Linked DNA regions of Saccharomyces cerevisiae S288C. Changing the gene in region 3 together with the main gene of any one other region gives a genetic interaction. Each region holds a gene or a part of one and is shown on either strand. Other genes may lie near its edges.

Region 1 (4,057 bases), on a different chromosome or scaffold from region 3:
AGTGCAATGCCCGCTCCATATATGCCTTATTACTATTACTACCATCCGATGAATGCACCAACTCCTGCAATGATACCATATCCTGGATCACCAATGCATTCGATTATGCCCAACTCCTCATTACAGCCCTTTTATTCGCAACCCACTGCTGCAGGCGGTCCCGATATGACTACTCCCCAAAATATATCTTCATCACAACAATTGCTGCCAGCTCCGCAATTGTTTCCGTACGGATCATTCCATCAACAACAACTTCAGCAACCACACTACATTCAACGAACAAGGGAAAGGAAAAAATCAATCGGAAGTCAGAGAGGTAGAAGATTGTCTATGTTAGCATCTCAAGCTAATGGGGGAAGCACTATTATATCTCCGCACAAGGATATTCCTGAAGAGGATTTTTACACCGTGGTTGGAAATGCGTCTTTTGGTAAAAATTTACAAATACGACAGCTTTTCAACTGGTGTTTAATGAGATCTCTGCATAAATTGGAGTTGAAGGCTAAAAACCAAGAGGAAGAAGGGGAACTTGAACATCTGACCAAAAAATCCAAGCTCGAATCAACAAAGGCAGAAACTGATTATGTGGATCCCAAACGTCTGGCTATGGTGATAATAAAAGAGTTTGTCGATGATCTTAAAAAAGATCATATTGCGATAGATTGGGAAGATGAGGAAAAATATGAGGATGAAGATGAGGAGAAGATTCTGGATAATACTGAAAACTACGATGACACGGAACTGCGACAACTGTTTCAGGAAAACGACGACGACGACGACGACGACGATGAGGTGGACTACTCGGAAATACAGAGGTCTAGACGTAAATTTAGTGAAAGGAGAAAAGCCCTACCGAAAGAACCAAAAAAACTATTACCTAATAGCAAAAACGTGGAAAACACAAAGAATCTTAGCATTTTAACGAGCAAGGTGAACGCGATCAAAAATGAAGTGAAAGAATGGGCAGTCACTTTAGACACTTCGAGACCAGATCTTGAATGGCAAGAATTGACTTCATTCTCATCACAACCACTGGAACCGTTGTCGGATACAGAAGAGCCAGACCTTGCGATTGCAGATGTTGAGACAAAGTTAGAAACAAAAGTCGATGAGCTAAGGTACCAGTCGCATATATTAAACTCGCACTCACTAGCCTTAAACGAAATAACAAATTCAAAAGTGAATAAATTGAACATAGAAACAATGAGAAAGATCTCAAGCGAAACGGACGATGACCACTCACAAGTGATTAATCCTCAACAGCTGTTGAAGGGATTAAGTTTATCTTTCAGTAAAAAACTGGATTTATGAAATAAAAGAAAAAATCAAAAAAAAATCGGATACTTCTGCATATGTAACATTACACAGTCATACATTTATATATACATATATATACATATTAATGTATTTGAAAAAGCAAAAGAACCATTCTATCCTTAGTTAAAGGGCGAATCAGTAGCAGCGCTACCACTATTGTTATTGTTTTCGTTTGCTGTCATGGTATCGTGGTGGTAAATAATACTTTCTTGAAGTGATAATGTTGATGACGATGCTGCTGAAGGGCTACCCATATCTAAAGATTTGAACAGCTGGAGTGGGCGTTCCAATAACCCATTTGAATGTTCATTGTATACCTGTAATCTTGTCATATGACTTTTCCAGACGGAGCTATTATCTGCTAATAAAATTATCCTGTCACGGGCAACATGTTCAATAAGCGTACACCATACGTGAGACAATTGTTCAATGCATTTATCGTAGTAGTAATTATTACTAGCTAATTCAAATCTGGGCAATTTGATAACTAATTCCGTGCAAATGTCTAAGAATTTTAATGATGCGTGCAAATTTTCCAAACGTGGTGGAATGTTATCCAGTATGAAATCCACCAAACAGTTTAAGAACTCCAGAATTTGAGGTTTCATTCTCACGAAAGCATAGTCATCTAATTTATTACTCTCATAAGACCTATTGTAAGGTATGCTCTGGTAAACGGCTTCTGATTTTTGTTTCAACATGTCCAGACACTTTTGTATACTGAAGTCTAATCCGATGACTCTCGTATGTACGCTTTGTTGTATTTCTGGATGTTTTGTCATCAAATCCACCAACAACTGCTGTAATTGGTTCTTGTTCATTAGTTCCATGCCTCGTTGCAAGGGCAGAGGCTGCCCTCTGATGAGCGATCCTGGCTGAGGCCTCCTCTTGGAGACGCCCCCATATTTCATCACATTCTTGTTACGAGGTAGTTCTTCCTCTTCTTGCTCCTCGTTGGCATACCGCCTTTTTTGTTTCACTCCAGCAGTTGGAATCATTACATTGCCTGTGCCTTGTGAACTGACTGTACTCTGTGTTATTTTACTGCTGGGTTTAAAACCCCATTCAAACCCCATCATAATGCTATACTGTCCTGTGTTTGTTGCTTTTGCCAGGTACCTTCGAACACACTAAGTGAGAATACTTGGTTAAGTATATTTTTAAGTAAGAAATTCCCACTCGCCGCATTATCACCCGCCCGCCGTTTCTTTTTCTGGCAAAATTTTCACTATGAATAACTAAAGAGATACATTCGATGGGCTTTAGATGAGGCCTTTTGAAGACCAAAACAGCACCAAATAGCGACACATTAAGCGTAATGGAACCTCAAGAAGAGTTTATAACTACCGAAGAAGTTGAGCAGGAGATTGTGCCCACTGTGGAGGTCGAACAAGACGTTCCCGTTGATATTGAAGGAGAGAATGACGACGATGATGAAATGATGAATGATGATGAGGAAGCTTTGGAGGTCGACATGTCCAACAACTCGCTTACCTATTTCGATAAGCACACAGACTCCGTGTTTGCCATTGGCCATCATCCTAACCTGCCGCTAGTATGTACCGGTGGGGGTGATAACTTGGCACATCTTTGGACATCACATTCACAGCCACCCAAGTTTGCTGGCACTCTAACCGGTTATGGCGAATCTGTGATTTCATGTTCTTTCACTTCTGAAGGGGGCTTCTTGGTCACTGCCGATATGTCGGGGAAGGTTCTTGTACACATGGGTCAAAAAGGTGGCGCTCAGTGGAAGTTGGCATCGCAAATGCAAGAAGTCGAAGAGATTGTTTGGCTGAAAACTCATCCCACTATAGCAAGGACGTTTGCGTTTGGTGCAACTGATGGATCTGTTTGGTGCTACCAGATTAATGAGCAGGATGGTTCTTTGGAACAGTTAATGTCTGGTTTTGTACACCAGCAAGATTGCTCTATGGGTGAATTCATTAACACCGACAAGGGTGAAAATACGCTGGAATTAGTCACTTGTTCTTTGGATAGCACTATTGTGGCATGGAATTGCTTCACTGGCCAACAATTATTTAAGATCACACAGGCAGAAATCAAGGGATTAGAAGCTCCATGGATTTCCCTATCATTAGCTCCGGAAACTTTGACCAAGGGTAACTCGGGTGTCGTGGCATGTGGGTCCAACAATGGTCTTCTGGCAGTAATTAATTGTAACAATGGCGGTGCGATTTTACATTTATCTACAGTGATTGAACTAAAGCCAGAACAAGACGAATTAGATGCCTCCATTGAATCCATTTCTTGGTCATCCAAATTCTCCCTTATGGCCATTGGCCTTGTCTGCGGTGAAATACTCTTATATGATACAAGTGCATGGAGAGTAAGACACAAGTTTGTTCTCGAAGATTCTGTTACAAAACTTATGTTTGATAATGATGACTTATTCGCATCGTGTATCAATGGTAAGGTTTACCAGTTTAATGCAAGAACTGGCCAAGAGAAGTTTGTTTGTGTGGGCCATAATATGGGGGTTCTTGATTTTATATTACTGCATCCTGTGGCAAATACCGGCACCGAGCAGAAGAGAAAAGTAATAACTGCAGGTGATGAAGGTGTATCTCTGGTGTTCGAGGTACCAAACTGATAGATAGTCGCGTATACATAAATAACAAAAAAACAAATTCAATAACATAAAATAAAAATACTTTTACATACAGAAGAAGAAACTTTATATATTCGACAAAGGAAAATGTAAAAAAAAAAAACACAT
Region 2 (4,723 bases), 570 kb from region 3:
TTCGCGGGAACCACCGTTAGGCATTAGTCTTTCAGTTTCAGCCATGACTTAGTTTGTTATGCCTTAGTCTCTGTGTTTTGTTGTTGTTCCAAGAGAGAAAGATATTCAGCAACTTTTGTTCTCCTGTTATTCCCTTAATCAGGAAGCAACTTTAAGGGAAATCCATTTCATCCCTCACACTTCCCATCTTTTCTCGGACAACCTTACATTACGCCTACGACGTATGACTACACAAGCAAGTTCGTTTTACAGACCGCGTATCATTGCTCGTTACAGCTCTACCAAAAGTGTACCGAGCACTGTGCCCAGAAGCTAAGCTTTTTTCGCTAACATATATATATATTTAGGTAAATCATTTACACTTTTCGTCGATCTAAAAGCTCATCGCATTTTTTCGGTCCTGATGTTAAAAATTTATTTCGTTTATTAAAAAAAAAAAAAACATTACTGAAACGTATAAAAGAAAAGTCTTAATCTATAAATATGGTTTTATCATAATTAGACTGTTTTACTCTGTCCATTGGTCATTATAAAGCCTGAAAATACCCACTGAATGGTTTTTTTCGCAGGAGCAAACCTTTTCCATTTCTAATAAACCTTCTGCACTATTTTTATTCTCATAAAAAACAATTGTCAAAGAAAGCCTACATAAAAAAAATATGACAGCAACGATCACAAATAAGAAATCATGCTCTGGTTCTGTTGAGGCAGGAAAGACACGTTTAACAACTGAATGGAAGCCTGAAAGCCAAGTACCCCAATATGTTAAAAATGAGCTCTCTAAACCCCATCCAAACTATATCCTGGCGTTTTTGAACGTGGTACAGCAATTAAAAATTCAGAGAAGAACCGGTTATCTTGACCTCGGTATTAAAGAATGTGAAAGCATATCAGATCACATGTACAGATTGAGCATAATCACCATGCTGATCAAGGATTCGCGGGTTAACCGCGATAAATGTGTCCGGATCGCATTGGTGCACGATATCGCCGAATCTTTAGTTGGCGATATTACTCCAGTTGACCCTATTGGGAAGGAAGAAAAGCATCGTCGGGAATGGGAAACCATAAAATATCTATGTAATGCTCTGATCAAGCCATACAATGAGATCGCGGCAAAGGAAATTATGGACGATTGGTTGGCTTATGAAAATGTCACCTCATTGGAAGCTAGATACGTGAAAGATATCGATAAATATGAAATGCTTGTACAATGTTTTGAGTACGAGAGGGAATACAAAGGAACGAAAAACTTCGATGATTTCTTTGGGGCTGTAGCTAGCATAAAAACAGACGAAGTAAAGGGCTGGACAAGTGACCTTGTCGTGCAGCGCCAAAAATACTTCGCCGATTTGACTCAATCGATAACTAAATAATTATCATAAATACCAACTTTTGCGTCATAAAAGTACAAAGTAACTACCAATACATAATCTTCAACGTACTGTCCATAGGTTGTCGTGGCCAAAGATGATAGCGCCTATAGCGTGTCTTCCAAGTAAAGCCAAAATTCCAATGCAGAATTGCAACTTCAAGATTGTATTGCACAATTTGTCTTCCCTCATAGGGCCAAACCATACTAATGTCAAGTTTATTAACGTCATATTAGAGGTGCTAATAATCTCATTATTTTCATCAAATTCCAGGTCAATCAAATGGAGACAGTATAGTAACTTCAAGATCGGTTTAAAAATGCTCTTTGGCGGTTCTTCTTTTAAGTTTGCTCTTGATGGATACATTAAACCGTCTTTTTCATTAAATTTAGGTAACCTATGTCTCGGGCAGGGGACCAATTTGAATAGCTGAGGACATGAATAAATAAAATTAACGATTTGAGGAATGAATAGCAAAAGCATCGTCTTTGAAAAATGACCCAGTATACCAACGACTGCGAATACCATTCCAGCGAAATAACAATATGTATCTCCCACAAACACTGTGGCGGGCCAACGATTCCATTTCCATAGCGCCAAGGATACACCCAAAAATGGGATAATCAAAACAGCGGAAAACCTATGGGAGTCTCTTGTGGCTAATGGCCCCATCGAGAAGTACAGCAAATCGTTCAATAGCGCTAAGATGGCCAACACTATACATTGGCCAACCTCTAAACCATTAACACCTGCCAGGATGTTGATGGAGTTGGGGCAAAAAATTGCCATCGATGCCATATAAACATAATACCACAGCCCCAAATCAACACTAGTCTTTTTCAACCAGCGTTCCATGAATCCGGGAATAAGTACATGCGTAACTCCAAAATCCACATAATAAACCATTAGCAGTGGGATGGCTGCAATGGCAGGCAAGAAAAACTTATGTCTCCAACGTAAATCAAATAAATCATCAGCGATACCCAAGAGGACCGTACTTTCCAAGCATAGGATAGCGCTCAAATATTCAGATAGTTTATCATGAGGAAAAATATTAGAATTCATACCGTTATCTTCAACCACTGAGACATCGCGATGGCCCCCACCTGAAGTGGTTATGACCATATACTTGTAGAAAATGAAGGGAATGTAAATGAACATTACAAATAAATAAACTGCAGCAGGGATAGCACCTATTGTTTCTGGAAGCACCGGACGGCCAGGTTTACTCAAGTCCTTACCGAATAGGCCTATTTTGATGAAGGATTTGCCCACACGTGGAATCAACATATCTGTAGCTAAATAGCCTGCTATACCAAATCCCACGGCCGCAACAAGAGCAGATGGGCCCTGATTTTTGGAATAGTAGATTAAGCATGTGATAAGTGCCAGTGAAAAAAGTCGCAACATATAGTCTACTTTTTGTTACCGTTCTCCGCCTTGCTCTACTTGATAAAGTTTTTATTTACATATTTCACAGTTATATACACATGTTAACAATTTAATTTTCGCGCTGTTTAGTAAAGCATTTTTCGAGATTGAGGCAATATAAAAGGAAAGGGCCATATACAGGAGATGAAGGAAACCTGTACTATTATTGTATTAAACACATGGTAGTAGCTAGAAAAAATTCATGCATCAACCTCTGTGTTTGTATTCGTAACATATAAATCCACAAGAAATTTTTTACTCATCATCCGCTAAAAAAAGGAAAATACGGACGTTACTTACTAAATGTACGACGAACATGTACACAAATCTTGACTATTTTTGATAGATGCAGTCTCTTGAAATGACCAACGACTCAGTAGTGTTTTCCAAGCAATTTTACTTTCAACTGTTTAATATTTTTTAGAGGCTACTCGGCCGGCCATATCTAGACAATTAGTAATTCCGATGACAAAGAGTTTAAAACCACAATATCTGCCACACATATCGTGAAAGGCATTAGTTCCATTGTCTCCGTATTAGTGCAAAGCCCCTAAGCCAGCCTGCTTTAAAAAATGTGCAGGTACTTTTGTTATTGTTTTGATATATAAAGAACTACTATTTGCTAATATGTGATGTAGCGCAGAGAACTTGCATTTCCCTGCATGGCTGACCTTGACAAGAATACAATTAGCAACAAAAAGTAATAATTCAAAATGACCACATCTTTTTATGATTTAGAATGCAAGGACAAGAAAGGCGAATCTTTTAAGTTTGACCAACTGAAAGGCAAAGTAGTTCTCATAGTTAATGTTGCCTCCAAGTGCGGCTTCACGCCGCAGTATAAAGAATTGGAAGAACTATACAAAAAATATCAAGATAAGGGGTTTGTTATTTTGGGGTTCCCATGTAATCAGTTCGGGAAGCAGGAACCGGGCTCTGATGAACAAATTACGGAATTTTGCCAGTTGAATTATGGCGTTACATTCCCAATTATGAAGAAGATTGATGTTAACGGAAGTAATGCTGACTCTGTCTATAATTATTTGAAAAGCCAAAAAGCAGGTTTACTAGGTTTCAAGGGTATCAAATGGAATTTTGAAAAGTTCTTAGTTGATTCCAATGGTAAGGTTGTCCAAAGATTTTCCTCCTTAACAAAACCATCGTCCTTGGACCAAGAAATCCAAAGCCTGTTAAGTAAATGATATCTTTGTCTATAATCAAGCAATTATCCGGAACAATAAATAATACATTTATAGATTAGTATGATTATATATTTTTCTTCAGAAGCATGGTGTAGGATATATTAAAAAAAATCGAAATATAAAAAAAGAAGGTTTAATGAGTGGTTTCGTTTTCCGGAATTTTCTCTGCTACCAACTGTTCAGTTCCAACATTCGACGTATCCTCAATCTTCGCTTTTTTGCTCTCTACTCCATCAACGTTCTCCTTCTCATTAGCGGTCTGATCTGCAAATTCTTCCCTTATCCTTTTACCATTTTCATCTTCTTTCTTCATTCTATCTTTAGTGGCGTCATCCAATACAATCCCTGCGTTAAATTCCTTTTCCAAGCATTGCAGTAATGTATTTCCTCTTCTGGCTAGCTCTACAGGTGTCCTGCTTCTGAAGTAAAAGTCTAATTCGAATAGGGGACAATCTCTAATTTCATCACGCACTAATTCGTATACGTCATCTCTATCCAAGCCATACTTGAATAACATGAGAAGGATAAAACGATCTTCTTCTTCAGAGTACGTCCTTTTGTTGTTAGAAGAAGGAGGATGTTTTAATTTCAAATCGAAGAATGGATTCTTATACTCAGACAACTTCCGACGTAAAGCCTCTTGTTGCATTTTGACACGCTTGATCTTCTCTTCTTCATTCTCAATTATTTTCAGATATTTCTCATAATCTTCAATTC
Region 3 (4,892 bases):
TTATTCTTTATTGTATATAATCTCTGCCGAGAAATTCTTATACTTATGTATCTGGGAATTCACCAGGTTAGAATACCTTCCCCTCCTCAATTTCTAATTTTTTTTTCTACCCTTATTTTTCTCTCTTGCTTCATCGCTCTCAAAGCTAAAAGCTAATACAGCAAACAAAAGTGTTATTAGGAATTCAATTGAGTCGTGAAAGAAAAATAATATTCGTCTTACTTGAGGACTCACTTTGGTCAATTGAGATTAAAGTGTAGTCTGCACCACTGAATTCCTCGTTTTCCTTTAAAGATCCGGGATGGCTTATCTGCGGTACCCGGACTGAAAACGACGTTTTAGCTAAATATTGAACACGTTAAAAATAAGTTCAAATTTCGAGGCAGATGAATTTGCTGAGGGCACTTGTTCAAGAGTGAGATATACGCGCAAGTTGAGGCATAATCAGTAAGCAATGAATCCGTTTAGAATCTTAGGTATGTTACTATTTGGAGTTTCATGAGGCTTTTCCCGCCGTAGATCGAACCCAATCTTACTAACAGAGAAAGGGCTTTTTCCCGACCATCAAGACAGGTGATTTATCACATCTAACCAGTATACTGATCCTGATTCATAATATCAAGACCACAAGGTACATTGAAGGTATTTCTTTCAAGACCCAAACGTTGTACGCTTTGGTTTTCATAACACGATACTTGGATCTCTTGACTTTTCACTGGGTATCCCTATACAATGCTCTAATGAAAATATTTTTCATTGTATCTACCGCTTACATTGTAGTGCTATTACAAGGGTCTAAAAGAACCAACACCATTGCGTATAATGAAATGCTTATGCATGATACCTTTAAGATCCAGCATTTACTAATTGGGAGTGCTCTAATGAGTGTTTTTTTCCATCACAAGTTCACTTTTCTTGAATTAGCATGGAGTTTTTCTGTATGGTTGGAGAGTGTGGCTATTCTACCTCAATTGTACATGCTATCTAAGGGTGGGAAGACTAGAAGTCTAACTGTTCATTATATTTTTGCCATGGGATTATACAGAGCATTGTATATTCCTAACTGGATTTGGAGGTACAGCACGGAAGATAAAAAATTGGACAAGATTGCCTTCTTCGCGGGACTTTTGCAAACTCTGTTGTACTCTGATTTCTTTTACATTTACTACACTAAAGTCATCAGAGGAAAGGGTTTCAAACTGCCAAAATAAAAAAAAAACCTGTTTTAAATAGTGTTCGCAGCAATATATACAAATTTCAATATATCAATGCTATACCAAAAGAAAAAAAAAATACATAAAATTGATGTTGATATTGGTCTATTTCTTTTTATACTATGATATGTATGCATTAATCTCTTTTTAGCTCATAAAATTCTTTCCTTACACCATCCTTGGTGACAATAAGGATTTCCAGCCCATCACCCACTTGTATATGTCTTTCTGTAGCAGAAGTGAACGAGTCTCTCACCAGTTTGATGACTTCTTCCACGGACAAGTATTTCAAAGGCTTTTTGACTTTACCGTTTGTACCTGGCTCATATTGATTTTTGAAATTAACCTGATTGTCCAAAAATGGCATGATCAATGATGCCGCAGCACCACCTGCTCTACACTGTTCTCTTTCGTAGGAGCCAACTGGGTCGAACGAATAGACAGCGCCCTTACCATCTTCGTCAAGACCCGCAATGATCGTATGAACGTAGTAAGGGAAAAACCTCTTCCCGTACAGAAGATGTTGAATGTTCCTTGCTGCAGAGTTTATAGATAGTTTTTTGTCGTTGTGGTCGAAATGGTACCATTTTACACTATTTTTGAATCTTTTTACTAAAGCGTCGCCGTCTGCTGCAAATCCATTCGCCGACATGACTATGTTATCACCACAATCAAAAACCTTGGGTTCATAACGAGAATTAATTGAGTAATCGGTGATATTTCTTGTATCGCCTGCTAACACTGCGAAATCTTCACCTGCAATGCCCAGGATTGTACCACCATTATCACCGTAAGGATTGAATTGATGTTCAATGGGTGTATTTGACGCCTCCGAAGAGTATTCTGATGCAATAGTGGCCATATTTTGTTTAACTTTATAGTTCAATAGTCTTGGCTACTCTCTTTCCAACTCAGTTCACCTTGTATTATACCGCTTGTTTTTGCCACCCTTTGAGTTTCCTCGATCCTTTAAGTTGGAAAAGATAAAAACAATTATCGCTCCGTACGAACACCAAATCTCTGCGACGCAGAGACGGCAATACAAAATCAGAAAAAAAAAACAATTTATTGCCTATGCTTCACTAGTCACAGGCTCTACGAAACATTGCTATCGCCTCACTGCCTTTACATCACTTAAGCAAGAAGTTTTAAATATTACGGCAATTCCTTTGCAGCAATACCTTTACTTTATTTCGAGAGAAAATAGATCGTAAAATGCCTACTCCAAGCTTTTAAATCAAGACTCAACCAAGCCCCCACACTTATCTTTAGAGACTAATGCCCTAACTCTTTCGACTGAACGGCTTAGAAGTCTCATGTCCTAGCTAGTTTGTCCTTGCGATGGGACACAAACGGCGCTGCCTCTCCTGCGGGCGATCAGAAAGAAGAAAAAGAAATGTGATTGAGCCATGCCACAAAGCGGTATGTGCCATTAATTTCTTTTTTTCTCCCCTTTCGCCTTTGAGTTTCTCCGCGGCGTTCACTGTGGTTGATGCTCGGGATTTGCCGGTTTCGTCCTTATCGCGCCATCTTTGCCATTAAAGGATGCTGCAATAAAACTTGGCGGTTCTCGCTACTGAAACTATTGTGTCAGCCTGGACAACACAGGGACATGTCGTATTTTTGAAAATTTTTGATCAATTCTCCAACGGAAAAGTTTTTCATTTCCTCTCTTGCTCAATTACTCGATGACATGCTATCCTATCTTTTATATAACAGTAGTATTGCTTCGACCTTCTTGTAAAATTTAAAACATAGTATTGGACAGCTTTGCTTTACTTTGCAGCACATTGCGGAAATAAAAGGCGGTAACTAGTCCTCTCATTCATTAATTCTATATAAGAGAAAATGCCGGTATCTGATTCTGGATTCGATAATTCTTCAAAAACAATGAAGGACGACACTATACCGACGGAGGATTACGAAGAAATCACGAAAGAGTCCGAGATGGGTGATGCGACTAAAATTACTTCTAAGATTGATGCTAATGTCATTGAAAAAAAAGATACCGATTCAGAAAACAATATAACCATTGCTCAGGATGACGAAAAGGTGTCTTGGCTGCAAAGAGTTGTCGAGTTTTTTGAGGTTAAGAATGACTCTACCGATTTGGCCGATCATAAGCCCGAAAATCCAATTAGGACATTTAAAGATTTACAGGAGTCCCTCCGTTCGACGTACTTGTACAACACAGATCTGCGGCCCGTGGAGGCAAAAAGAAGAACGTGGACATGGAAGCAGTACATTTTCTTTTGGATTTCTGGGTCCTTTAACGTCAATACATGGCAAATCTCAGCCACTGGGCTACAGTTAGGGCTTAACTGGTGGCAGACTTGGATCTGTATTTGGGTTGGATACACGTTTGTCGCATTTTTCTTGATACTGGGTTCCAAAGTGGGGAACAATTACCATATCTCTTTCCCCATTTCCTCAAGAGTATCATTTGGTATCTACTTCTCCATCTGGATTGTCATCAACCGTGTCGTCATGGCATGTGTCTGGAATTCTACTTTGGCTTATATCGGTAGTCAATGTGTTCAGTTGATGCTAAAGGCTATCTTCGGTACTAATTTGAATACTAGAATCAAAGACACCATAAAGAACCCCAATTTGACGAACTTCGAGTTCATGTGCTTCATGGTCTTCTGGGTCGCATGTTTACCGTTCCTATGGTTTCCACCTGACAAATTGCGTCATATATTTGCACTCAAATCCGCCATCACTCCATTTGCGGCCTTCGGTTTTTTGATTTGGACTCTTTGTAAGGCCAAAGGTCATTTGGCATTGGGTTCCCTAAATGACAATGGTGGCGCAATCAGCAAGACGGTTTTAGCATGGTCTGTCATTAGAGCTATTATGAGTGCTCTGGATAACTTCTCTACTTTAATCCTAAACGCTCCTGACTTCACTAGATTCGGTAAGACCTACAAGTCATCTGTTTACTCGCAATTGATTGCGCTACCCGTCTGCTATGCCATTATTTCCTTAATCGGAATATTGTCTGTCTCCGCAGCTTATACATTGTACGGAGTAAATTATTGGAGTCCCCTAGACATTCTGAACAGGTACTTGGATAACTATACTTCGGGGAACAGAGCCGGTGTATTCTTAATATCTTTCATTTTTGCGTTTGACCAGCTGGGTGCCAACTTGTCTGGTAACTCGATCCCTGCAGGTACCGATCTGACTGCATTATTGCCTAAATTCATCAATATCAGACGCGGTTCTTATATTTGTGCTCTAATATCGTTGGCGATTTGCCCCTGGGATTTATTATCATCATCGTCAAAGTTTACTACGGCACTAGCGGCATATGCAGTTTTCTTAAGTGCTATTGCGGGTGTAATATCAGCCGATTACTTCATTGTCAGAAAGGGTTACGTTAATATTTTCCATTGCTACACCGACAAGCCAGGATCGTACTACATGTACAATAAATATGGTACGAACTGGAGGGCGGTGGTAGCTTATATATTTGGTATTGCTCCTAATTTTGCAGGCTTTTTAGGTTCAGTGGGAGTTTCTGTGCCTATTGGCGCTATGAAAGTTTACTACCTAAACTATTTCGTTGGTTATCTCCTTGCAGCATTGAGTTACTGCATTTTAGTGTATTTTTACCCAATTAAGGGTATTCCAGGCGATGCCAAGATAACTGACCGTAAATGGCTCGAAGAGTGG

The links.
Region 1: mutations in PRE7 (region 3) and STS1 together harm fitness more than expected from each alone (negative genetic interaction), as found in Saccharomyces cerevisiae (2 studies listed by BioGRID).
Region 2: of PRE7 (region 3) and ALG7, changing one enhances a phenotype caused by changing the other (phenotypic enhancement), as found in Saccharomyces cerevisiae (one study listed by BioGRID).

The regions. Positions count from the first base shown.
Region 1 is NC_001141.2:375,851-379,907, forward strand, and holds STS1 (Sts1p), read right to left. Parts: upstream 2,397-4,057; coding exon 1,437-2,396; downstream 1-1,436. Other genes in the region: MIND complex subunit DSN1, read left to right, coding at 1-1,311; SQT1 (Sqt1p), read left to right, coding at 2,636-3,931. UniProt on the Saccharomyces cerevisiae protein: Involved in ubiquitin-mediated protein degradation. Regulatory factor in the ubiquitin/proteasome pathway that controls the turnover of proteasome substrates. Targets proteasomes to the nucleus and facilitates the degradation of nuclear proteins.
Region 2 is NC_001134.8:704,011-708,733, forward strand, and holds ALG7 (UDP-N-acetylglucosamine--dolichyl-phosphate N-acetylglucosaminephosphotransferase), read right to left. Parts: upstream 2,784-4,723; coding exon 1,437-2,783; downstream 1-1,436. Other genes in the region: VVS1 (Vvs1p), read right to left, coding at 1-45; YBR242W (5'-deoxynucleotidase), read left to right, coding at 660-1,376; glutathione peroxidase GPX2, read left to right, coding at 3,518-4,006; chromatin-remodeling ATPase ISW1, read right to left, coding at 4,140-4,723. UniProt on the Saccharomyces cerevisiae protein: UDP-N-acetylglucosamine--dolichyl-phosphate N-acetylglucosaminephosphotransferase that operates in the biosynthetic pathway of dolichol-linked oligosaccharides, the glycan precursors employed in protein asparagine (N)-glycosylation.
Region 3 is NC_001134.8:138,431-143,322, reverse strand, and holds PRE7 (proteasome core particle subunit beta 6), read right to left. Parts: upstream 2,077-4,892; coding exon 1,351-2,076; downstream 1-1,350. Other genes in the region: ERD2 (Erd2p), read left to right, coding at 455-476, 574-1,211; FUI1 (uridine permease), read left to right, coding at 3,063-4,892. UniProt on the Saccharomyces cerevisiae protein: Non-catalytic component of the proteasome which degrades poly-ubiquitinated proteins in the cytoplasm and in the nucleus. It is essential for the regulated turnover of proteins and for the removal of misfolded proteins.